Linked DNA regions of Struthio camelus. The protein of the gene in region 1 purifies or fractionates together with the protein of each later gene. This does not show direct contact. Links are inferred from orthologs where the notes say so. Each region holds a gene or a part of one and is shown on either strand. Other genes may lie near its edges.

Region 1 (7,948 bases):
CACTTCCCTTTCACTTCCCATCCTACTCCGATACTAGTCTGATATTTTCACAAATGTTACTAAAACACATGCATGCATTTTCTACGTTACTGAGTATGGAAAACATCATACCAGTGATAAACCCATTTAGTTGGTTTTGTCTTTTTCAGAGCTTTTCAATCTGTTTGAAAAATAATCCAGATACTATCTCGTATACTGCTATTACAATGACTTTCACGTCTAACCAAAATTTCCATCCTAAAATTATTAATCCAGATGCAGAACTGTGTCTTCAAAGAGGTGCAAGCTTTGGTAACTTGTTTGTTATGTCTTCATCACCATACTTCTCTTGTGCTGCCTTCATAACTGGGAGAGCTCCATGCAAGCATCCACAAAGCAGTACCATCTTCTCTCAAAAACCTCCTAACAGTTTTTCAGAAGTTCTCACTAAAAACAAAGATACAAAACAACCAGATGGCTGGCACGCCTAGATCACTACCACTATGATAAAATTCACTGCACTGGTACCAAATATACTCCTGTATCATCATAGATCCAATGTGCTTTCTTTTACCCTTAAATTGTAAGCTCAGGAAACACCTCTTAACCACAGAACTTTGGCATGACTAATTCAGACACATAGCTTAAAGAGTCTGATACTTTGACAAGTCTTATTAAAACACACGCATACATTTTCTGCCTTACTGAGCCTATGGAAAACATCACACCAGTGCGATAAGACCATTTAGTTGGTTTTTTTCTTTCCCAGGGCTTCTCAATCCTCTTGAAAAATAATCCAAATATTATCTTGTATACTGCTACTATAAAAACTTTCACTGGTAACCAAACACTCAAAGTTATGTCTAGCATTCACCATTTTTATTTACACTTTCTAAATTTTGTTTACTTGTTCACTGGCATAGGAATCTTTGCAAGGATTTTGCGTAATTGCTTCCTGCACCATTTTTTAGTATTGTCTGAGACTACAGAGTGTCTCAACCCGTCGAAGTCGCCTGAGACTACAGAGTGAGACACAGAAGACACCATTCTGCGTTTCACCTCATTTTAAATAACAGTAAGTTCTTCGGAGTGGAAATTCTTTCTGTTATATGGTTGTATTAGGCCTAGCATAATGATTTTCAATCTGAGGCCCATAGGTATTTCCATAGTACTAGTACTTATTTAAAACAAAATGTTTCATACTGGAAATATGCATCTCTAGTTAAATAACATCTTCAATAATTCTGTAGTCTTAAAATGATGAGTTTCCCTAAATCATTCACAAGCAAAAACAAAAATACTCCATAGCAACCCAAAATACTATCCTATTATTCCAGGCGTAAATTATCCACTTCCTTTTCAAAAAAAAAAAAAAAAAAAAAAAAAAGGTGAACAGTTCATTTTCAGTGACTTGTTTCATGTTTCTCTGTAGTTTCTCATTATACCTAGTTCTGCCACCGGAAAATTTAGGTTCAATCATAATACTGTACATGCAAACATTCTTCGTGATACAAGAAGCGTACAATATGCTGCAAATATGAAACTGGTAAAGAACGCTGACTCCCCCAGAAAGACAATTCACATAGTGAATTCTTACCATTTCATTCCAAAATAGGGTTGCGCTATGTACCATAATTTACTTTTAGGCATACAATTTTTACAGGAAAAATGTGCTTGTACATTCAGCTTACACTGACTACAGAAAAGCCATACGCTTTATCTCAAAGTTTCAGCACCTATAAGATTTGGAAGCCACTCATTAAAATAGAATGTAGTATTTGGATACGATGTTCTTCAGTTACAGCTTTTTAAATTTTAAATTAAATTTCAAATCTCTTCCTATGCAATTCACAGCTTTTACAGAAAGAAAAAAAGACTAGAAGTCTTCTAATTTTTTTTTAGAAAAAGTCTAGGAAAGAAGCACGTCTTTACTGACTACTATATTTTGTGAAAAAAATGCATTACTGAACTATCATCAAATTTTAATCCCAATATACACAAACAACTCAGTATCAGAGCTGAACTTCAAAAATGGAGCATAAATAAAAACTTATGCTCCTTGATGCAATACAAGTATAAACATTAATCAATCTTAACAGATTTTCTGTTTTTACCAAAGCTTAAAATACTTAATCATAAGAAAACAATGTGACTACTTTTTCAGAGAATTACTCAACTTACAGTTTTGAGTAATAACGTCAGCATTTAAATCCTAAACTATAGACAATTTTTTTCACTCTTGTTAAATGTTATATTTTTCTACCAAATTATTTGGTCCTTCACTAAAAAAAACAACACACGAGTGGTCATTCTCAACACTTGAACATATCTCTGAGCAGCATAAAAGTAGTGTCATAGACCTGAGATCACTTTTCACAAACCTCTTACAATCAATAAATGAAAGGAACTGAGTCCACATATTCAGATGAGTAAGTGAACAGAAACCCGGAAAAATTTAATCCTTAACTAGAGCACAGACTTAGAGAAAGCTTTAAAAGCATTTGTTTCATTCTTTCCACTCTAACCTCTAAAACTGTACGCTCCAGGAACCATAACAAACAAGACCCGCTTCCCTAAAGAACATTTAATTAGGAAAACGTGTAGGAGCCACAAGATGCCTTTATCAGGACAGAAATCAAGCAAAAGCTTGATTTTCGTTTTTTGACAAACAAGAGAAAAGAACTGGAAACACTACTGTGGCCAAATAAAACAACAAAATACCATAATGCTACCTTCTTCATGAGAACAAAAGCATCAACCACCAACTCCACCCCACCCCCAAGCAGGCTGTTGCTCTCTCTAACCACACAGCCAATGCTGAAGACAATGTAATCCCACAGGGAAGACAGAAGGTCACAGACACACTGCAAAATCATCAAATTAGGTCCACATTTTAGAAGGACACAGCAATATTTTCACCAATCAGGATTTTGTTTGGAACAAACAGGTGGAGTGGAGACATGTCCCGCTCTTCTCCTGACTGCCTCTTCCCTGAATACACAGAGGGAGGTCACAAGCATTCACTGTAGCCCAAAATTAAGGCCTGGTGGGGGGGGGCACTTATACTAGGCGGCAGAATTCAAGAAGTGGCAAGGCTAGCAATACGCAATGTAACACAGCAGGTGAGACTGTGTACTGTATACCAGCAGCAAATCTGTTATCATTCATCTGCTGTAGGTGGCTAGGAGGGTGCCACTTATTACAGTGACACACTTTGCAGCTGGCTAGCCATGATTAAGTATTACCCAGTGTGGCTGAAAGGGATGGCAACTATCATTCGTTATGATCCACCGTGGCTTAGCGGGGTGGGGAGGCTGCTACCCTTCAGTGCGACGCAATACTAGTAGGAAGGCAACTAACAAAACTCACCAAAGCCCAGGGAACGGTGAACAGGGTGGGGGCAGGAGAGAAGGGGAACTTCAGTCCCTCGACCTGAGGGAACGGGTGCCTTGCTAGCAAGACTGCAAAGCCTGCTCGCACCAAGCGCGACCTAAAGCACTTCACAGCGATCCGGGAGCTCCGGCAACGTTGAGGGCAAGGGGCCTCCAGCCAGCCTCCGCTACGCGAAGGGGCTGAGACAACGCAAGAAGACAGAGCTCAACTTCTCGCAACCGCAAAAGCGGCAGCCTTTGTCCGACCGCTCGCGGTCTGTGGCCGAGGGGGCCCGGGGGCTCGCGCCTGCGGCAGGATAAGCCGGGGCGGCGGCGAAGGGGGCAGGAGAAGGGCCTGTGCCGGCCGCGGGTCCCTCTCCCTGCCGGGCTCCGCTGCTAGCCCGCCCGCAGACAGGGACTCCGCCGGGGCGGAGGGGATGAGCGCTGACCCAGCACGGTGTTCCGACCGGTCCGCCCGTGCCGGAGACAAGGGGAGAAGGGGAAGCGGCCAGTCCTGCCGGGCCGCCCGCCGCGGGGAGCCGCCGGGGAGCCGGGCCGCCCGCCGCCTGGAGCAGGGCAGGGCAGGGGGGCCTTCTGCCGTGCGCCCACCCGGGGGGACCCCAGCCCCCCGGGGTTTGTGCCTCAGGGCTCCCCGGGCTGTCCGGAGAGGAGCCTTCTCTTCCTCGGAGCGGGGGCAGCGGGGCCGAGGGAGCGGGACGGCGCGGCCGGCGCTCCGGCACCCCCAGAAACAGATCGCTCCCGGCGCGCCGCTGCGAACCCCCCGCACTTACCCTGTCACAACAGGCGCCATCTTCCACAAACTCTCGCCAAAACTCCTACTCTCGCGAGAGCGCCCCCCTCTCCGCGCGAGGAGCGCGCGTGCGCCAGCTCGTGAGACACACGCGGAGCCGGGCGGGGGCGCGGCGCGCGCCGCCCACTCACCGCCTGGGCTCTCCCCTCAGACACAACAGTGGCAGGCGTGGGAACCGGGCGGATCTCGCGAGAGCACGGCACCAGCCCCGCCGGCCAGCCGGCAGCTCTCGCGAGAGCCGAGCCAGGGGAGGGAAGGGGGATTCCCTCTGCCCGGCGTCTGCCTGTGAGTCCCGCTTCTGAGTCTTCCCGAGTCGGCGGGGGGAGGACTAGACCAATGCGGGGGGAGGTCGAGCAGCGGCGGAAGAAACCACTCGGGGCAGGGAGGGGAGGAGAGAGGTCGTTGCCCGAGCGCGGCGCAGGGGCGACGGCGGGTCTGCCCGGGAGAGGCCAGCTCGCCGGCCCTAGCCCCCGCGCCGGAGCTGCCGGCGGGGGAAGTTGCGGCCGCCCCCTCCTCCTCCTCCTCCTCCTCCTCCTCCTCCTCCTCCGCGAGGAGCAGACGAGGCGTCCGCGTGGGAAGTCCGTGTCAGTCAGCCTGGGGGCCGCCCGCCTGGTGGCTTCCGGGGGCCGAACCCATGGGCAGCCCCGCCGGTTCCCTGGGGGCCGCGCGGCCGTCCCCGGCCGGCCGTTAACGGCTGCCCGCGCCGGCCGTTACAACCGCCCCGCCCCCCGCCGCGCGCCGCTGCTCTGAGGAGCCGCCCCGCCCTACCCCGCCCCGCCCCGCCCCGCCGCGGCGCGGCGCGGCTCGGCTCGCCGCCTTCAGCCCGCTGCCTGCCCCAGGTGCCTGCCCCAGCTGGGCTCCGGCCGCCCTCAGCAGAGGGGGGCCGAGGGTAGCGATTAGGGTCTACGAGGCAGCCCGTTTTCTCCAATATAGAATGAATTTTCTTTAAAAAATTCAAGTTACTGTGGAAGTTTGGGCAATAACGTTTAATGCCGGCTCTGTCCAACATCCTTTAAATGATATAAAAATAAACGCAACTTGATAGTGTTTAGCAGTGAGTGTTTCCTACCCAAGTTTTAAAGAAGGTCCAAACCACTGACTGGAGGGAACCCATATCATTGCTTTTAATAGCTGTATCCTCTACAAGTGCAGACCAAATATTTTTATTGTTCCTGTTAGCTGAGTTTAGTTTAAAAATTAGTTCATACAAAGCTCAAAGACTCAAGGGAATTGGAAAAGGAGAAATTTTGGTGCCTGGAAAGGCACCGTGATTAGAAAGATCTGTTAGTTTTTGCAAATGTAAATAATGTTTCACTTTTAAATGGCTTTAATTGAAAAGTATATCTTCATAATTTTGTTGTCTTTCACACACAAAATAGCTAAGGAACATTTGTCCAGTAAATACAAATTTTTGAGTCCATTAGACTCTGTTCAGCCAATAAAATGACCCTTGTAATGACCTCTCAAGTAGAGCTCTGGAGGTAGGCATGGTAATGAGAAAGTATAAAATTATCTGGATATGGTCCAACATTTGACATTAAGAGAAAATCTGGATTTTGAATCAATTTCAGAACATGATCATTTCAAGGTCAAAGTCTGATTGTCCAATAGGTACTATGTTTGAAAATTAATCCCTTTACATCAAGGATTCTATCCTGTCTCTCTGTTCAACTTCCTCTTTCTGTGTCTACTATCATCAATCTAACTTCAAACACAAACACAATATTGTTCTGACGATTCACAAAGATTCCCGAAAGCTGTGTCATTTTTATTACCTCACCTTAGTGCCTCTGCTGTCTCCCAAATGAAGAAAAAAGATAACTTTTTATGAAATTCCATTCATATGATTTGATGTTTCTTTCTTAAGTATTCTCTCTACTGCTAATATTAATTCAATGAAGAATAATGTCTCAGATGAGTAAACTCATGTTTTAAGAGATTGCTTGACCACAAAGTTTGCTGTAACTGCTCACTGTACAAACACCTATTGTTTGCTGTCATTAAGGGCACTTCTCCCATCGTGATTTCCCCCTCCTCATTAGTTATAAAAGGATTTTGATTGGTTCCTTCATAGGCTCACTTCTCATCAAAAGCACAATGCATACTGGAAATCCTCTGTATTGTTTGTGGAGAGCAAATCATAATCCCTTTGGAAATCTCTTCCTAAAAACATCTTTTTTTTTTTTTCCAAGGCTAAAGAATGATCTCAGCTCGTGCTAGTTCCATTCCATTAAGAATGGTTTCTGGATTTTTGCCATAGACTCTCTCTAGATGGTCATTTTCTAGGGGCCCTCTTTTAGTGTGTTTTGAATCAAACTGGAAAATCTAAAAATATAGCACACAATAATATGCAGTGTCTAGACTTCTTTTAATATTTTACCAAGAAAACGTTTTGATTAATAACAAAATTAATTGGATCCTGGAGAAAGTATATTATTTCGAAGAATTAATGATTACAGAAACTATTGTACTTCCTTCCATCTCTGACAGAGGTACAATATAAAACAAATAACTATTGAATTTTTTTTTCGTTTTAATTATAAACAATCTGCAGTGCAAAAGGTCAGGAATACTATTCAAGTAAAAGACAATGGCCTGAAATTATGTGAGTGTCTGGCAGAAGGAAAGATGAAAAAAAAACTGAAAGGGTTTTTAACCAGTGTTCGGGCACTGAATTTTCTTCTTGTTGCTCAAAGACTTTATATCCCATAGTACAGAGTGCTCCATTTCTGTTGTCTTCAGTGGCAACCGAAAGCATTTAGTACCTCAAGGAACCAGGTCCCACTTTCGGATCTGTAGAGAACGGTAAATACTTCCAGAGTTGAGGTGTAAGAGCAAATTTAAATACAAGGTTTGCACATTTTAGAAGTTTGTACTTATTACACAGATCACTGGTTGGACTGTTTAAAACAAAGTTATTTAAGCCCTGCCGAAGCCAGGGGAAGCGTTCTGAGTCAGGCCTATCATTTCAAAAATGATTAGGAGAAACAAAGCTTGGAGGTACCTTTGAAGGACCTGATTTCAGCAAGCATTGAGTCTGTTCCCTCTTTTCAGCTGATGCTTTGCTAAGTAACTCCAGTTGGGTGCTCAGAATCATTAGTTGCCTGTGAAAACTGAAGGCGATTAAGTAAGGAAATTTTACTTTCATTTTGTAAACTCTGTGGGATGGGGTCACTTCCTGCTTCTTTGGGTTCACTAACACCTACAGGTGTGGACGGACCCAGGTCCCTCTGTCTGTGCTCCCTGCTAAGTGGATTCCAGCAGCTTCACCTGAGAATTCATATGGTGACCTCATCCTCTCAGGATCTGAGGGTGGAAAGAGGAGGAAAGACACACAGCATAGCAACAAGCCCTCCATATGGACAGGGAGCAGGTCTTTTGGCCCTGAGTTTTGCATATCAGATGGTAGAGAAGGAGCTGCCTGGCTGAGCCCAAGCAGCACAGCTCTGGGAAGAAATGGCAGATGGGAACAGGGAGCACTGGGTGCAGGCTGTAATAAAAGGGATCACAATTTCAACAGCTTGTTCAACCAGTTTGGACCAAACTTTCTCCAGCTCGGCACTGGCTCTGGGCTTGACCTATGCTCATTCCTTTGGGCAGGGCACTAGCTAACACTGCTATCTGGCTTCTAGTTTGGCAACTGCCTCACATCTAGCTGACTTGGAGAAAGATTAGAGGACAACAGGCCCGTCTGCACCCATTTGTATAAAGTACCCTGTATCTATTCTGTGCACAATGAGTCCCATCCCTAGTTCAGTCTTCTAAAAGATAACTCATAATATGTCTT
Region 2 (7,570 bases), on another chromosome or scaffold:
AGGCTTATTCAGCTTTGTATGCAGTCAGGATATGACCTTTTAAGTGTTCCACGCTGACGTAATGGCTAACTTAAAAAGGGTTGGAATGCTTCTTATCTGAAACTTAAGGTATTCTCACAGCAGCAGATGCTATTAAACACCATTTGCGAATAATGGACATCCACTGTGAAAAGCAGAGGATTCATCTGTTGGCATGTATGGAAAGGAGGGGGTAATAACAGCAGTAGGTTCTTTCAGGAGTTACTTTCATTTCTGCATTAGAATTTAAGTTGTTTGTAGATTCCCCCCATCTCTTTTTAAGAGTACTCTTGGATTAGATTTCCTTGCTGCTGACACAAATTACTTTCTTGCAGGAGGAGGAGACTGTGAATAGATCACCCAGAAACAGAAAGCCAAGGAAAGATTGAAAGAAAAAAAAATCATAAGAACTTGATCTGTAATTTTTTTTTTCCAAACTTGGTTCTGGGAGAGGACCTTGGACACCTTACATTGAAACTTGGACAAACCTCAAGATCTCACCATGCACAGGTTCTGGTTACGCTATCCAATGTAATGGAGTGTCTAGCAGTAAAATCTTGCAATCATCTGTTTTAAAAGAACATCATTCCTGTAGAAAGAATACATTTAATGTAATGGGCTGTGGATTTTGGAATGTAACATAACTAACCTTTTCATTTTGGTTTTAAATACTTTTTTTGTTTTTAAGTAGATTGGTAGAATTTTGCCAGTCTCAAACCATGGCTTAATTTAATATATTAAACTAGTGAAAAATAATGATGAAAATCTTGAAAAATGCTAGATGTTAAAAGTGCAGTTTTATAACTAGTTTTTTTTACAAACATGTAAATTCCTAAATGCACCAGTGTCTTTATATCCCTTAAAGTTTGATAATTATGGTTAAAGAAAAGTTGTCAATATACCTGACAACCCCTTTTCCCCTCAAAGGAAAAAAACTGGGAGCAGGGTGGGATGCGTGAGGGAAAACTAGCAGGTAAAGTTTGTAATCAACTCTGTTCTTGGGGGGGAGGGGGGGGAAAAAGAAGGGGTGGAAGGAAGGAGTTAGACAGTCTTAGGGACTATGAGCATTGTCCTGGTTAAAGCCCACTTAAGTGTTGACGAATGATCTAGGATTTGGAATAGGGGAATAGGTCATCTTAATGTGGCGTGTAATCCTGCAGAAATTGGATTTTGTTAGTCCTTGAACTCTTCCCATAAAGCTGAAGGGTTATTGGGGGTATTTAGACTATTTTTCCTTTTCCCCTCTGTTCAGCCACTGCTCTCCTTTCTTTGTGACTGTGCAGCTTTTTCCGAGTGCAGCTTTGCCTCAATTGCTGAGAAGTATGTCATGTTCAGCTCCTTGTTAGACTTTCCATAGCTAGGCCTACTCCTTTCCAGGGTCCGAACACTGGATAGGACAGTGTCCCATATCCTCTCACTGCTATCACTGTGTGTCTGCTCCTGTAGAAACAGGAGAGGTGGTCAGGTAGGCAAGTTGAACTGAATTTCTAAGAAAAATCAAACACAAACAAGATGTCAGTATTTGTAGGTGGGGAAGGAGCATGTGGAATATCTTACCTGGTATGTGAAACTGTTTGAGTCTTTTTATCTGCTATTCATGTAACAAACGCATCCTAAATTATATTGTGAATGTTAGGGAGTTCCAATTCCAGCTGAATAAATTTTTAAGTGTTGAGTCTACAATATTATACTGTTTCAAACACTTTTTTTGTGGAATGCAGGTGATCACTACAAGAGCATACCTCTGAGGGTGGAATCTGTGTAGCTTCATTACACTGTACCAAATATGCTGGAGTTTGGATGTCCATATAGAAAGCTTTTTTTGCCTTTGTTTAGAGTGAATTAAATGTCCTAAAATTACTCTTCTTGCACTGAATATAAACACTCCAGTGTTGTTTGGGCTAGGTCATAGGTATTGTGTGGGGAATAACTCCCGGGGGTGGGGGAGGAAAGTGTTCTGATTACCTTGCAGACTAACCAGTTACTAAAAGATTTGTTTTTTGGGTTTTTTTTTTTGTGAAACACCTTTTGCTGCCTGTCCTCATGTTGTATCCTTTACTTGTTGTGTTGGAAATACTAGACACCACAAATGCATAACAGGATTTCTTGCTCTTTCTGCAGTGTGCAAATAAACTATTGTAAGCAAGATACTGGAAGTAATTTCAGACTTCTGTTGGGAGCTATTGCATGTTTAGAATGCCTTTTGCCTGTTGAACACCTGGTAAATACTGCTCCTTTTTGCCAAAATAGCTTATACTCTGACATGGAAGATGTCATAGCTTAAGCATTGCTACTAGCTTGTTCTCAGGACTGTATTTTTATCAAGGAGCAGCTGCTATTTATGACTCTCAGTCCTTGGAGATGGAGTATATGTGAATGGTTTCAAGTCAGCTAACAATTCTGAGCACAACATAAATCTGTTAATCTAATCAGTGTTTTTTATCTTAATATGCAAATTGCCTTAAATTCCTGGACAGTTCTTGTGCGTACATGTTCCTTTCAAAGCATCAAAAATGAACTTAAGATCTGCTCTCAGCTTTTTGAGTAGTATTATAGTAAAGCTAACTATGTACACCTACGTTTGCTTGTGCTAGATTTTCTGAAAAGGTCTCCTGTCTGCATGTTATGCATTTTTTGATACCTTAGTGTATGCTTCTTGAGTAATCACTACAATAAATGAAGACTTTCCAAAGTGGATAGACAACTTAAAGGTTACTTTTTATCCTGCATTCTCACTTGGGTGGCTCAATTTAACATTAGAATCGCCTTTTTTTTTTTTTAATTCCTTGGAGCAAAAGTAGCTATCTCTTTATTCAGAATAAAGAATGCCTGTAAAGCATGGCAGCGTTTTCCAAGTACTGCAGCTCTGCTTGGTTGCTACCTGTGAGCTAGGTTTGAAACACCTTCAAGTATGCGAAGGTGTATTTGACTGTGTGGGGGGGTGCGCGTGTGTGTGTGAGGGCTGCAGCTGCTGGAGAGCATGAACTCCCAGAAGTTGAACTTGCTGTGTCTGGGGTGAGGGAGGGGTTTTAGGCTGAGATTAATCAAGAAGGAACAAACATCAAGTGTGCTTATGGGCAGTTAGATATCTGGAATACAGGATACTAGAAATGCTGAAGCCTTTTCTTTTTTTTTCTTTTTTTTTTGTCCTGGAACCTGGTGCTCAGTGAAGGGAGTTGGTGCCTACTAACCTGCTCTAGAAATATAACCAAATAGGAGCTGTCCTTGCAGCTCTGATAATGCTGAATTATCACAGCTCGAGAATGTGGGCTGTACAATGTGCTGAGACTGTCTGTGTCGGGTTGGGATCCTCGCAGGAGCCAAGTGCTCGTGGAGGGGTCTGGGGTTGTGGTTGTCCCTCGCTTTCTGTTCTCCTTCTGCCAAAGCAGCGCTCCCCTTACCTGGTGGTGGCACAGGCAGGGCTGTTGCCAGGAGTCTCCGCATCCTCAAGCCTTTCCTCGTTAATCTGTAGTTGCCAATATTGCCTCAAGGTTTCAAAAAAAAAAAAAAAAAAGCAATGAAAAAACCTTGGTGTTCGTAAACAAGGACTGTGACTTCTTCTGTGCAAAAGACCTGTCCATTTCAAAAAGGTCACTGTAGATGCAGTATGCATATATTAAAACCTGAATAAATTATAATGTAAAATTAATCAATAAAGAAACTGAAATCGCTTTGGCTGCCTCGTCTAATTAGCTTGAAGGGGCTTAAGTCTTGATCGCGTTTGTTGGTTTTTTTTGACGGGAACAAGTTGTGATTGGGACCCAGCTGTCCACAAGCCCTGAAGAAAAGGGGGGGAGGGAAAGAGAGAGAGGTTACAGCTGCCTGCTCGGGGCAGGGGCGCGGGGAGGGCGTCGCTGCCCCGCTCTGTCCGGGCGAGGGGGCGCCCGGCCGGGGGGGGGGGAGCGCCCGTCACTCACTCCTCAGGCCCCGCCCACGGCGCGCGCCATTGGCCTCTCTCCAAGCCCCGCCCCCGCCGCTTCCCGGCCCCTGCCTTTTAAACGCGCCGTCGGCCGCGTCCTGCCGGCCGCCTTGCCCGCCCACGCCTCCGCGCTCCCCCCCGCCCTCCCATTGGCTGGCGGCGATGTCCCTCAGCGCTCGTGACGCGCGACGCGAGCGTGACGTCGCCCGCCACCCAGGAAGCTCCGCCTATTTATTCTCAACTCGGCTCTTGAGGGGAAAAACAATTTCAAGATGGCGGCGGCGCGGATAACAATGGGGAGTCGGGGGTTCGGGCCGGCCCGCGCCTGAGAGCAGCGGCCGCCGGGCCCCGCCGCGCCCGGGGCAGCGGAGCGGGCCGCGGCCGGGCCGGAGGGCGAGCGGGCAACGGCCGCTGCGCAGCGCAGCGCCGGCGGAGGGGGAGCGGCGCCGCCGCACCGGCCTCGGGGGAGAAGGAGGAAGTGGGGCGGGGGGGACGCCGCGGGGAGCGGGCCGGCGTCGGGGCCGGGGCCGGGGCGGGGGCGCGGTGGGCGGGCGGGCGGGCGGGCGAGCCCAGGTAAGGCCGGCGGCGAAGGGGGCGGGCGGCGAGGCCGGGCAAGGCCCGAGGGGGGGAGCCCCGCGCCCGCCCTGCGCGGCGCCCCCGCCATGGCGGGGGGCGGCGTGAGGAGCCGGTGAGCGGCGGCAGCGGCGGCCTCCCCCCACACCACCCCCCCCCCCTTGCGCTCCGGTCCATGGTGCTGCCCCCTTGCCCCATGGCGGAGTTCGTGGTGCCGCGGCACAGCGCGGTGATGGAGCGGCTCCGCCGGCGCATCGAGCTCTGCCGGCGGCACCACAGCGCCTGCGAGTCCCGCTACCAGGCCGTATCGCCGGAGCGCCTGGAGCTGGAGCGCCAGCAAACCTTCGCCCTGCACCAGCGCTGCCTGCAGGCCAAGGCCAAGCGGGCCGGCAAGCACCGGCAGCCTCCCCCGCCGCCGCTGCCGCCGCCCGCGCCCCCTCCGCCGCCCGCCGCCGCCGGCAGCGCCGAGAGGAGCGGGGCCAACGGGCTGGACGCCGAGGCGGCGGGCGGCGAGCAGCACGGCCGCAGCAGCACGCTCATCGCGGTAAGCCGGGGCCGGGGGAGGCGGCGGGCGGGCGGGCCGGGGCCGGGGCCGGCCGGGCCGAGCGGCCGTGCCTGCGCGGGTGCCGCTTAGCAGCCGGCACGGGCTGCTTTATTTTCCCTCCTGTCATCTCTGCGCGCTGGAAGAGTGCGCAGAAAACGGTCTGATGAGGAGGAAGCGGGGGGGGGGGGGAAAGAACTTGCATGCCTCTTTTTGCCACTGTTAGGGCCGTTCCGAGCGGCTTTCTGTGCAGCCTGCTGAGTTGTGGTTCTGGCTATTTCACCGAAATTGTCTCTGGAGGAACTGTCAGGGGAACACTAGTACTGCGAGGCCTATGGGATTTTTGTTTGTTTTGTTTGTGCCTTAGTTTAGGCTGTGGGAGTTTAGCGGGATCGCTGCATGAGGACACTTTTTTTTTTTTTTTTTTACTGATACATATATTTTGGATAATGTCTCCACTAATTCTGCTGCATACTGGAAAGAATTTTAGTGGAATGGTATTGGAAGGGCAGCTGCTTATTTGCCGCTCCGTAGTGGGTGTGAACACTACGGGAATCCCACTCCACCCATTAAAAAACTGGCTTAACCCAAAGTCTTCATGTTTCTCTGGCTTCTCTAGCATTTCTAGTTGTCAGGATATATTCATACAGCTGTGTTTGTATATTAAGATAGCTATTGCCTATTGCTTAACTTACTCTGTGCCCTTTAAAGGTACTAGGCTATACTAATGTGTCGGTAATGTAGGTTAGTAGGATAACCTCACAGAGGTTGCCCGCTTTCTTTCACGAAAGCAGGTATTTCTGCATGGTGACCTGCCTGAAAATGATACAATGCTGCTGTTTTGAACGCCTTGAAAACGTGGTGCTGGCATTAATATGATACGTTTTCAAGTTAACATATACGTTAAATCATGTTTTTAAGATGGCCTATGTGTTTTGAGTTTTTGAGCATGATCAAATTGGAACAGAAGAAGGGAGGCTGTGATTCTCTACTGTCTTGGATCTCACTTGGCTGCAGACTTTAAAATAGTATCACAGTAGCACTTACTGTGTGCTTGTACTGTACATGATGTGGGGCACGCTGATGTCAGCTTTAACGTAACTAGCGCTAGACAAGCATGTGCGTGGTTTGTAATATATGCAATGTGAAATGAAAGTGTTTGGCCGAATTGCTTCTGTTGGTAACATACCTATGAGAATCTAGGACATGCAGGCTTTTCTGAAGACTGGAATCCTTGTGATATCGTTATAGCGCTCATACAATAGAGAAAGAAAAGTCTCGGAGGAAGAGCGTACAGTGATTCTGTAATGCTTTCTGGGTACCTGTTGTTTGGTAGGCCGATCTTGAGTGTAAATTGTGTCAGAACTCAGATGACTCAAACTCATGTTTTGTTACCCGAAGACTTGATGGAATTTCTGTTTGCTTCCTTTCTGGGCTCTGAGTTTTTTTTTGTGTATGGGGCTCTAACCATTAATAATGTGTATTTTTGTTATACACACACAGAGTTCTTTAAGCAACAGGATTTGACACGTTAAACTGCCACCATGCTGCTTCAAATTGATTGATTCTCTAAAAGAAAGATATCTCTGATTCATTGGTGGCATTTCTTCCAAATTGCTTTGGATGTGGATTTGATCTCATTAGCATCCATTATAATGAGGACTCTCAGCAGCAGTGTGGTTTTGAAATACAGTGCACATCTGGGGAAGCCCTTCTTGTGCAGGAAGCTGCTGCCAGTGGCCAATTTACACAACAGAAGAGGATTTTAGTGTATGAATGACTCTTCCTCGTGCTGGCCTGCTGTTTCCTTCCTAGGATACATGACTGTAAGCTTAATTGCAGTTGCTGATTCATCATCTCGTTACTAGGGTATAAAGTTGGTAATTCAAGTTTGGAAAAAAAAAAATAGCACAACGACAACAAACCTCTGCTGCTAATTTCATTCCTTTAGGATAAAGGGTTCCTCTCTAACCCAGAAGTTGATGTTTTACCACTAGCAATCATGTAACTGTTGTCAAGACTAAGCATGTGCTGCTGTGTGTAGGGGAAGGACGTGGATATGGTTTACAGTGTTCAGTAAACTTCTGGATTACCACCAAAATTATCTTGTTTTTAAAATATCCTGGGCACATTCCTTTCAAAAGAATGCTACTGGGACAATTAAACTTGCATTGTATCAATAGTCCTATTATAACAGCACTATTGCTGCTGTTATGATCAGGAGTTTTCCATAAAGCTCCATGTGAATCTTCTCTTAGAAACTAGTGCTCTGTATTGGACGCTAACGAAGCACTTATTTTGGTCTTTCAGAGAGAAAGCAGTTTGTGTAAATAAAGATATGTGAGCTGCCAAATGATCTAGCATCTGATGGCTTGCAGCGGAAGGACCTGAAGCTACACTTGCAGCAAGTGTCATACAGTGCCCAGTGTATGCACTCCCTGTTGCTCTACTTGGCAGCTTCAGACTAGCTGGGGGAACAGGATGAGCACCACCGCTTCCTTTATAGCATGTTATATGAT
Region 3 (7,255 bases), on another chromosome or scaffold:
CACGAGCAGCTTAGGCAGTGTGGCCGAGAAGAGGACCGTCTGATGGCTCTCAGGGAGCCGAGCGATGATCTCCTGGAGCTGCTCTGCAAAGCCCATCTCGAACAGCCTGCAGGACAGGGAACGCGGGACATCAGAGCGCTGGCATCTCCTGCCATGCCCAGCCCTGCCTCCTGGCACCTGCCAGCACCACCCAGCCAAGGCACCTCATTCCTTCCGCACACCTCCTGCCCTCCGCGTCTCCCACCCCCTGCAAGGGCTCGTTGCTCACTCCAAACATGGGGCACACAGCTCCCCCGAGTCCACAGTCCAGCCACTTTCATCCCAGCGAGCACGTTACTGGAAAGGCAGTGCCCAGCAGGCCCCGCTCTGCCCCGGCACTGGCCCTCGCTGACCTGTCGGCCTCGTCGAACACCACGTACTCCACACTCTGCAGCTTCAGATTCATTTCCACCGCCACGTGCATCAGGCGCCCCGGGGTGGCGATGATTCTGCAAGGAACAGAGACCGCAATGCTCGGCCGGTCCGTACCTCAGCCATGAGACGAGCGTGGGGAAGCAGGATGGGACACCTCCCTCCCAGGTGCCAGAGCACAAGTCTGGCTCAAAGACAACCAGACAGAAACTCCCTGGTTCCATGCAAGGAACACAGGAAGACACTCTGAAGAAAGCCTAGGACATGGCCATGGGATGTGATTGTAAACGCCAGAGACATCTCTAGTGACCTCCTTCATGATGCCAATCCCCGGGTGGCACAGCCAGAAGGGCAGAATTCAGCCTGTGTTTGGATGGCACCAGGAGCAGGGCCAGCTAGCTCGCAGGGCTCGAGTCAGGACCGCTGGGGCCACACCAGGCCATCAGCAGCAGGGTAGTGGGTAACCCAAGGGACATCATGGGGGTCCCAGGGAGGCAGCACCCTTTCCAGGTCCAGCAGCTGGTCCCAGGATCACCCCAACACGGTGCGCGTCCAGCGTTTGTCAGCACACGTTTCCTCGCCACATCAGCAGGGAAGCGCAGACCCTTCCAGATACCCCAGAGACTCACATGTCGGGGTTCTCGTGCAGCGCAGCAAACTGGTCCTCCATCCTGCGAGAGGGGAGAGAGCCTGAGACGGGGCCAGGCGGCAGAGGGGCAGCTCAGCCCGCCTGCCTTCGCAAGGCCTCCCCGGGCAAGCCACTGGGGACTGCAGAGCTGGGGGCCAGCCCAGGGCATGGGGCGAAGGCCAGATCCTTCCAGGCCACACTTTGCATGCTCGAGGCTGCGGAGAGGGACCCACTGCACAGGAGAGCTCCTCAGCCCTGAGATCTCACGCGTGAGCAAGTGAGTAGCTCTTTTGATGGCCAGCTGAAACTTCAGACCATCTAGCCCAGGAACCCTGCTCCAGATGCCACTGTGATGCCCAGTCCCAACATCTGGCAGATTTTTGCAGCCCTCAGCACATTTTAGGGAAGCTGGGACAGGCCAAGTGCCTGCAGAAAGCCTCGGGAGGGCTGCCTGGGCTTTAGGGGAAGGGCAGAAACACTGGTAGGGGCACTGGGGATGACTTACTTGTCTCCTCCCAGGACAAGGGCTGTCTTCAAGCCTGTGAACTTGCCCAACTGCAGGGTAAGGGAGAAACACGGGAGAATTACAAGCAGATTCGGCCTCAAAACAAATCCCTAGGCTGTTCCCTTCCAATGCCAGCAAACAGCCCTGCTGCCAAGGCTGGGGACGCAGCAGAGCAGGCAGGTGATGAGGGCACCAACGCAACGTGTTTTCCTTCTGCCTGCTCTTCCCTCCTCCCTTCGTGGATTAGCTTGAACCTCTAAGAAAGGGGTTGGCCATGCACGGCAGCCACAAGTCATATCCCGGCACTGCACAGATCCCCCCGGCAAAGGACAGCGCTTGATCATCATCAGCAGCACTAAGAGATAAAGATGTCCTTCACCCTTTGGTGATAATTCAACATCATCTGCTGCAGCATGGAGCCCCACAGGTTAATGGTACCGCTCGAGCTCTTGCCTCCCCTGCCCTCCATCCCTCCATCCCAGCTCAGCCAGCACCACCTCCGTCCCGGTACCTCCTTGGTGAACTTCATGGTCTGCAGGGCCAGCTCGCGGGTGGGCGAGAGGACAAGGGCTCGGGCCCCCGTCTGGGCACTGTGGGCCTTCAGCTTCTCAAACATGGGGATGAGGAAACAGGCCGTCTTCCCGCTGCCCGTCCGTGCCATCGCCACCACGTCCTTGCCGTTGAGGATCACCGGGATGGTCTGCAAGACACAGCCCAGCGGCGCTGCCCTCACCACCCAGCACCGCCGCCTGGAGCGGGCACCCCACGTGGGCAGCACCCATCGCCCCGGAGGCCCTCGGTCCAGTGCCCCGTGCCCCGAGGGGGCTCACCTTCCTCTGGATGGGTGTGGGCACCTTGTAGCCCTTCTTCATGATCCCCTTGAAGACAGGGTAGCTCAGGCCTGGAGAAGACAGGGGTTAGCAGGTGACGGAGCAACACAAGCAGGACAGGGCCCCGTGGAGCAGACTCGGCACGGCCCCGTTTCCAAGGGTCCCCCACCCCCAGCCCCCAACACGTACCCATGGACTGGAAGCCTCCGGATTTCTTCTTCTTCTTGTTCTGGGCCCGTACCATGGCCTGGGTGTCCAGCTCAGCAGTGGCCTCCTCGGCAGCGGGGAAGGCCGGCAGCGCGCACCCGGGGGCCTGCGGAGGGAACGGCACCGTGGGGAGGGGCGCGGGCGGCCAGGCGCCCCAACAGCATGGGGGGACAGCAGCTCTGGGGACGCTGGCGCTGGGGATGCTGGCACTGGGGACAGCAGGTATACTGGGCACCAGGGACCCCGGGGACACGGGGTCACCGAGGACATAGGGGACTGGGGATATGGGCAACTGGGGTCACTGGGCACATGGGGGACTGGTGACATGGGGGAGTGGGGTCACTGGGCACACAGGGGATTGGGGACACTGGGCACACGGGAGACTAGGGACATGGGGGATTGGGGTCACCGGGGACATGGGGCACACAGGGGACTGGGCACACAGGGCATATGAGGGATTGGGGACACGGTGGACTGGGGACATGGGGGATTGGGGTCACCGGGGACACGGGGGGCTGGGGACATGGGGGACTGGGGACATGGGGGACTGGGGACACCGAGGACATGGGGGAGTGGGGACATGGGGGAGTGGGGTCACCGGGGACACGGGGGACTGGGGACATGGGGGACTGGGGTCACTGAGGACATGGGGGACTGGGGACACGGGGGACTGGGGACACGGGGGGCTGGGGACATGGGGGGCTGGGGTCACTGGGCACAGAGGGAACTGGGGATATGGGGGACTGGGGTCACCGAGGACACGGGGGACTGGGGACATGGGGGATTGGGGACATGGGGCACGGGGCACATGGGGGATTGGGGACATGGGGCACTGGGCACACGTGGCACATGGGGGATTGGGGACATGGGGGATTGGGGACATGGGGCACATGGGGGATTGGGGACATGGGGGAGTGGGGACATGGGGCACGGGGCACATGGGGGAGTGGGGACATGGGGCACTGGGCACACGGGGCACATGGGGGATTGGGGACATGGGGGAGTGGGGACATGGGGCACGGGGCACACGTGGCACATGGGGGATTGGGGACATGGGGGATTGGGGACATGGGGCACATGGGGGATTGGGGACATGGGGGAGTGGGGACATGGGGCACGGGGCACATGGGGGAGTGGGGACATGGGGCACTGGGCACACGGGGCACATGGGGGATTGGGGACATGGGGGAGTGGGGACATGGGGCACTGGGCACACGTGGCACATGGGGGATTGGGGACATGGGGGAGTGGGGACATGGGGCACTGAGGTCACTGGACACACGGGAGACTGGAGAGATGGGGGACTGGGGTCACCGAGGACACGGGGGACTGGGCACATGGGGGAGTGGGGACATGGGGCACTGGGGTCACTGGACACAGGGGGGACTGGGGAGATGGGGGACCCTGGGGACCCTGGGGACATGGGGGACTGGGGTCACTGAGCACACGGGACCCCGGGCAGACGGGGCACCGGGGACCGCAGGCCCCCTGGGACCAGGCGCACCGACCCCCCCCGTCCCCCTACCGGCGGCGCCCGGCGCTGCTCCCCGGGGCCGGGCCGCTCCCGCTGGCGGCGGGCGCGCGGCGGCGCCATGTCGACGGCGGCGGCGGCGGCGGAAGCACGCGGCGAGGCCCCGCCCCGGCGGCAGCACGTGGGCGGCGGGGGCGGGGCGGAAGGGGCGGGGCTCGCGCGGCCCCGCGCCCGGGCCAGGTGGGGGCGGGGGGGTCCGGGGAGGGGCAGAGGGATTGAGGGGGATGTGGGGGGGGAGTGTGGGGGGCCAGGGGGTGGGGGGATGCGGGGGGCAGTTTGGGGGGGCAGGGGGATTTGGGGGATGTGGGGTGGGCAGAGGGTTGGAGGGGGCTATGGGGGCAGTTTAGGGGGCAAGGGAGATTTGGGGGGATGTGGGGGGACAGTTTGGGGTGGGCAGGGGGATTTGGGGCATGTAGGGTGGCAGTTTGGGATGGGCAGGGGGTTTGGGGGGATGTGATGTGGCACTTTGAGATGGTGGGGGGATGTGGGGATGTGGGGTGGCAGTTTGGGGGGCAGGGGAGATTTGGGGGGATGTGGGGCGACAATATGAGGTGATCAGGGGGATTTGGGGGATGTGGGGTGACAGTTTTGGGGGGGCAGGGGAGATTTGGGGGGATGTAGGGTGACAATATGAGGTGATCGGGGGATTTGGGGGATGTGGGGTGGCAGTTTGGGGGGAATAGGGGATTTGGGGGATGTGGGGCGACAATATGAGGTGATCAGGGGGATTTGGGGGATGTGGGCTGGCAGTTTGGGGGGAATAGGGGATTTGGGAGATGTGGGGTGACAATATGAGGTGATCAGGGGGATTTGGGGGATGTGGGGTGGCAGTTTTGGGGGGGATAGGGGATTTGGGAGATGTGGGGTGACAATATGAGGTGATCAGGGGGATTTGGGGGATGTGGGGTGGCAGTTTGGGGGGCAGGGGAGATTTGGGGGGATGTGGGGTGGCAGTTTGGGGGGCAGGGGGGATTTGGGGGATGTGAGGTGGCATTTTGGGGAGCGGGGGGCAGTGACGGGGGCGAGTGGGGGCAGGGCTGATGCGGGGCAGGGCTGCAGCGAGCTGGTGGCAGGGGCAGCCGGGGCCGAGGGCCGGGCCGGCGCGGGCAGGGCCCCGATGCCCCCCCGCCAGCGAGGCCCTTCTCGGCAGCCCCCGGGGATCTCCTTTCCCTCATCCCTCTAATCCGCTGTCTTGCCCCGATGGCCTGCAGTCGCGTGACCGCTCGCCGATGCCCTCAGCCGGACGCCGCCCCGCCGGCCATGAACGCGGCCGTCGCCAGCAGCCCGGCTCCTCGGCTGCAGCCCCGGAGCCGCTGCAGGGGGAAGGCCCGGCCGTCCTTCGTGGACGAGACGCTGTTCGGCAGCCCCGGCAGGGCTCGGCCGGCGCCGCCGGACTTCGCGCCTCCCTGGGCGGACGAGGCCGGCCCCGCCAGGCCCTTGGTGTGGAGCCCGCCCGCGGCCGGGGCCAGGTGGAAAGCGGAGGCCGCCGCACCCGCCGCCTGCACGCCGCAGGGCACCCCCAGGAAAAGGAACAAGTACAGGTGAGTGGCCTCTTTCCTCTCCCGCTGGAAACCCTGCGGCACCTACGGCTGGGACTGGCGGGGGTGAGGGAGCCCGTCCGCGTCCCTGCGCCGGCCTTCAGAGCGGCTCCCGGGAACGCGGGGCAGGAGATGGTCCGGCTGTGTACCCTGACTCGCTATCTCCGTGTATGTCGAGTACTGCTGCAGTTTTCCCCTCTGCAAGCTGTCCGGAGAGCCTCTGATGCCCAGGCATCCCAGATTTTCCCTTTTTCCCTGATGTTTCCTCCTATATAGAGGAGTTTTCCCCAGAGGAGGGGATTTTCTGAAGTGTTTTAGGCATCAGTAGACTCGTGTTGCTGAGATGCAGTCCCAGAGAGCCCGCTGGGCTAGTAAACCTGGTGCCCCTTTCTGTAACCAGCAGCTCAGGAAAAGCAATACAGCAAACCCTATCTGTCCGCTTTTCTCCAGTCCAAATGATCAGGAGCCTGTTTACAGCCCAGCTGGCCCTAAGCGGCCCTTGGGAGGGGCTGGAGTGGGGTTTAGCCTCAGCAGCTGATCCAGAGCAAGGAGCAAAGATTTGCCCCCTTTGGATTCCACGTGGCAGTTAGGCCTCTGCTGCTGTCTTTTCCCACCTTAATATGAACATGCTTTTCTCTGCTTTTTTCCCTGCAAAGGTTGAAAAGTCACACTCCATCCTATTGCGATGAGTCCCTGTTTGGCACCAAGCCTGAGGATCCGTCCTGGGCAGCTTCTTGGATGAAGAGAGAAGATGTAGCCAAACTTCGTCCACTGCTCTGGAGCCCGTCATCCGCCCCCCGAAACCAGTCAAGCCTTTCCTCCCGCTCCAAGGAGACGCCCTTGAGGGCTGTCCACCCACGAGCCTCAGCATCGCCAGCGCTAGCAAACCTTGGCACAGATCATAAGGGCGAGTCTTACATCTGGAAACGGCCTGAGAGCAATTCGGACTCTGAAGGCCGGAGTGCTCCCAACAGAGGACGTTCTCAGTCTCTCACTCGGCTGAACGCCTCTCCGGATAGCCTCCGACTGGCTTCAGGCAACCCCAAGACAGAAAAGCATAAAAATCAGTGCCCCTCAACAGCCCCTGCAACACCCCGAGGTCCTCTGATGAGGGTTCGGTCTAAGAGCGTGTCTGCACCTTGTTTTGCCAGGAACTCCAAGGCAGTGGGTATCTGCAAACCCAGGCCTCCCTGGAAGTAAAATGAACGTCCCTTTGTATGTAAATGCACCCCTAACCTACCCACGACAGGGGTCTGACACCCATTGAGCAAACAAGGGAAGGAGCTGTCAGGGAGCAGCGAGAAGGGGACTGCTCCACGAGGGAGGACGAGCCAGGAGCTGAGAGTGACCACAGCATCAACGCGGCAGTGAGTGACCTCCCTGAGCGGGGTACAGTCCCATGGCACCCAAGCAGGACAGCCGTGGCAGTAATAACAGCTTTCATTGCCTGTCCAGGGATCATCAGATGAGGTGAGGTAATGAGTCAGGTTGCTTCCGTCCAGGACGTCCAGTCAGGACAGCCAGGAGACAGGACTACCGACAGCATAGGTGCAGGGCCCAGCCAGGAGACAGGACCGGACACAGGTACACCTACAGTGTAGCCCA

Evidence for each region.
Region 2: the proteins of RBPJ (region 1) and MAML1 purify together in Homo sapiens (co-immunoprecipitation; 12 studies listed by BioGRID and IntAct, counting the BioPlex papers as one, with this or other methods). This does not show direct contact. The link is inferred for Struthio camelus from reciprocal best matches to the Homo sapiens genes RBPJ and MAML1.
Region 3: the proteins of RBPJ (region 1) and RITA1 purify together in Homo sapiens (affinity purification with mass spectrometry; 4 studies listed by BioGRID and IntAct, with this or other methods). This does not show direct contact. The link is inferred for Struthio camelus from reciprocal best matches to the Homo sapiens genes RBPJ and RITA1.

The regions. Positions count from the first base shown.
Region 1 is NC_090945.1:66,786,792-66,794,739, forward strand, and holds the start of RBPJ (recombining binding protein suppressor of hairless), read right to left. Parts: upstream 3,015-7,948; 5' UTR 3,000-3,014; coding exon 2,899-2,999; intron 494-2,898; exon of another isoform or gene 112-493; intron 1-111. UniProt on the Homo sapiens protein: Transcriptional regulator that plays a central role in Notch signaling, a signaling pathway involved in cell-cell communication that regulates a broad spectrum of cell-fate determinations.
Region 2 is NC_090954.1:6,929,645-6,937,214, forward strand, and holds the start of MAML1 (mastermind-like protein 1), read left to right. Parts: upstream 1-4,560; 5' UTR 4,561-4,685; coding exon 4,686-5,054; intron 5,055-7,570. Other genes in the region: CANX (calnexin), read left to right, coding at 354-407. UniProt on the Homo sapiens protein: Acts as a transcriptional coactivator for NOTCH proteins. Has been shown to amplify NOTCH-induced transcription of HES1. Enhances phosphorylation and proteolytic turnover of the NOTCH intracellular domain in the nucleus through interaction with CDK8.
Region 3 is NC_090958.1:7,134,027-7,141,281, reverse strand, and holds the start of RITA1 (RBPJ-interacting and tubulin-associated protein 1), read left to right. Parts: upstream 1-4,245; 5' UTR 4,246-4,292; intron 4,293-5,323; 5' UTR 5,324-5,372; coding exon 5,373-5,653; intron 5,654-6,306; coding exon 6,307-6,850; 3' UTR 6,851-7,255. Other genes in the region: ATP-dependent RNA helicase DDX54, read right to left, coding at 1-106, 393-488, 1,041-1,082, 1,545-1,594, 2,056-2,244, 2,375-2,445, 2,564-2,687, 4,107-4,175. UniProt on the Homo sapiens protein: Tubulin-binding protein that acts as a negative regulator of Notch signaling pathway.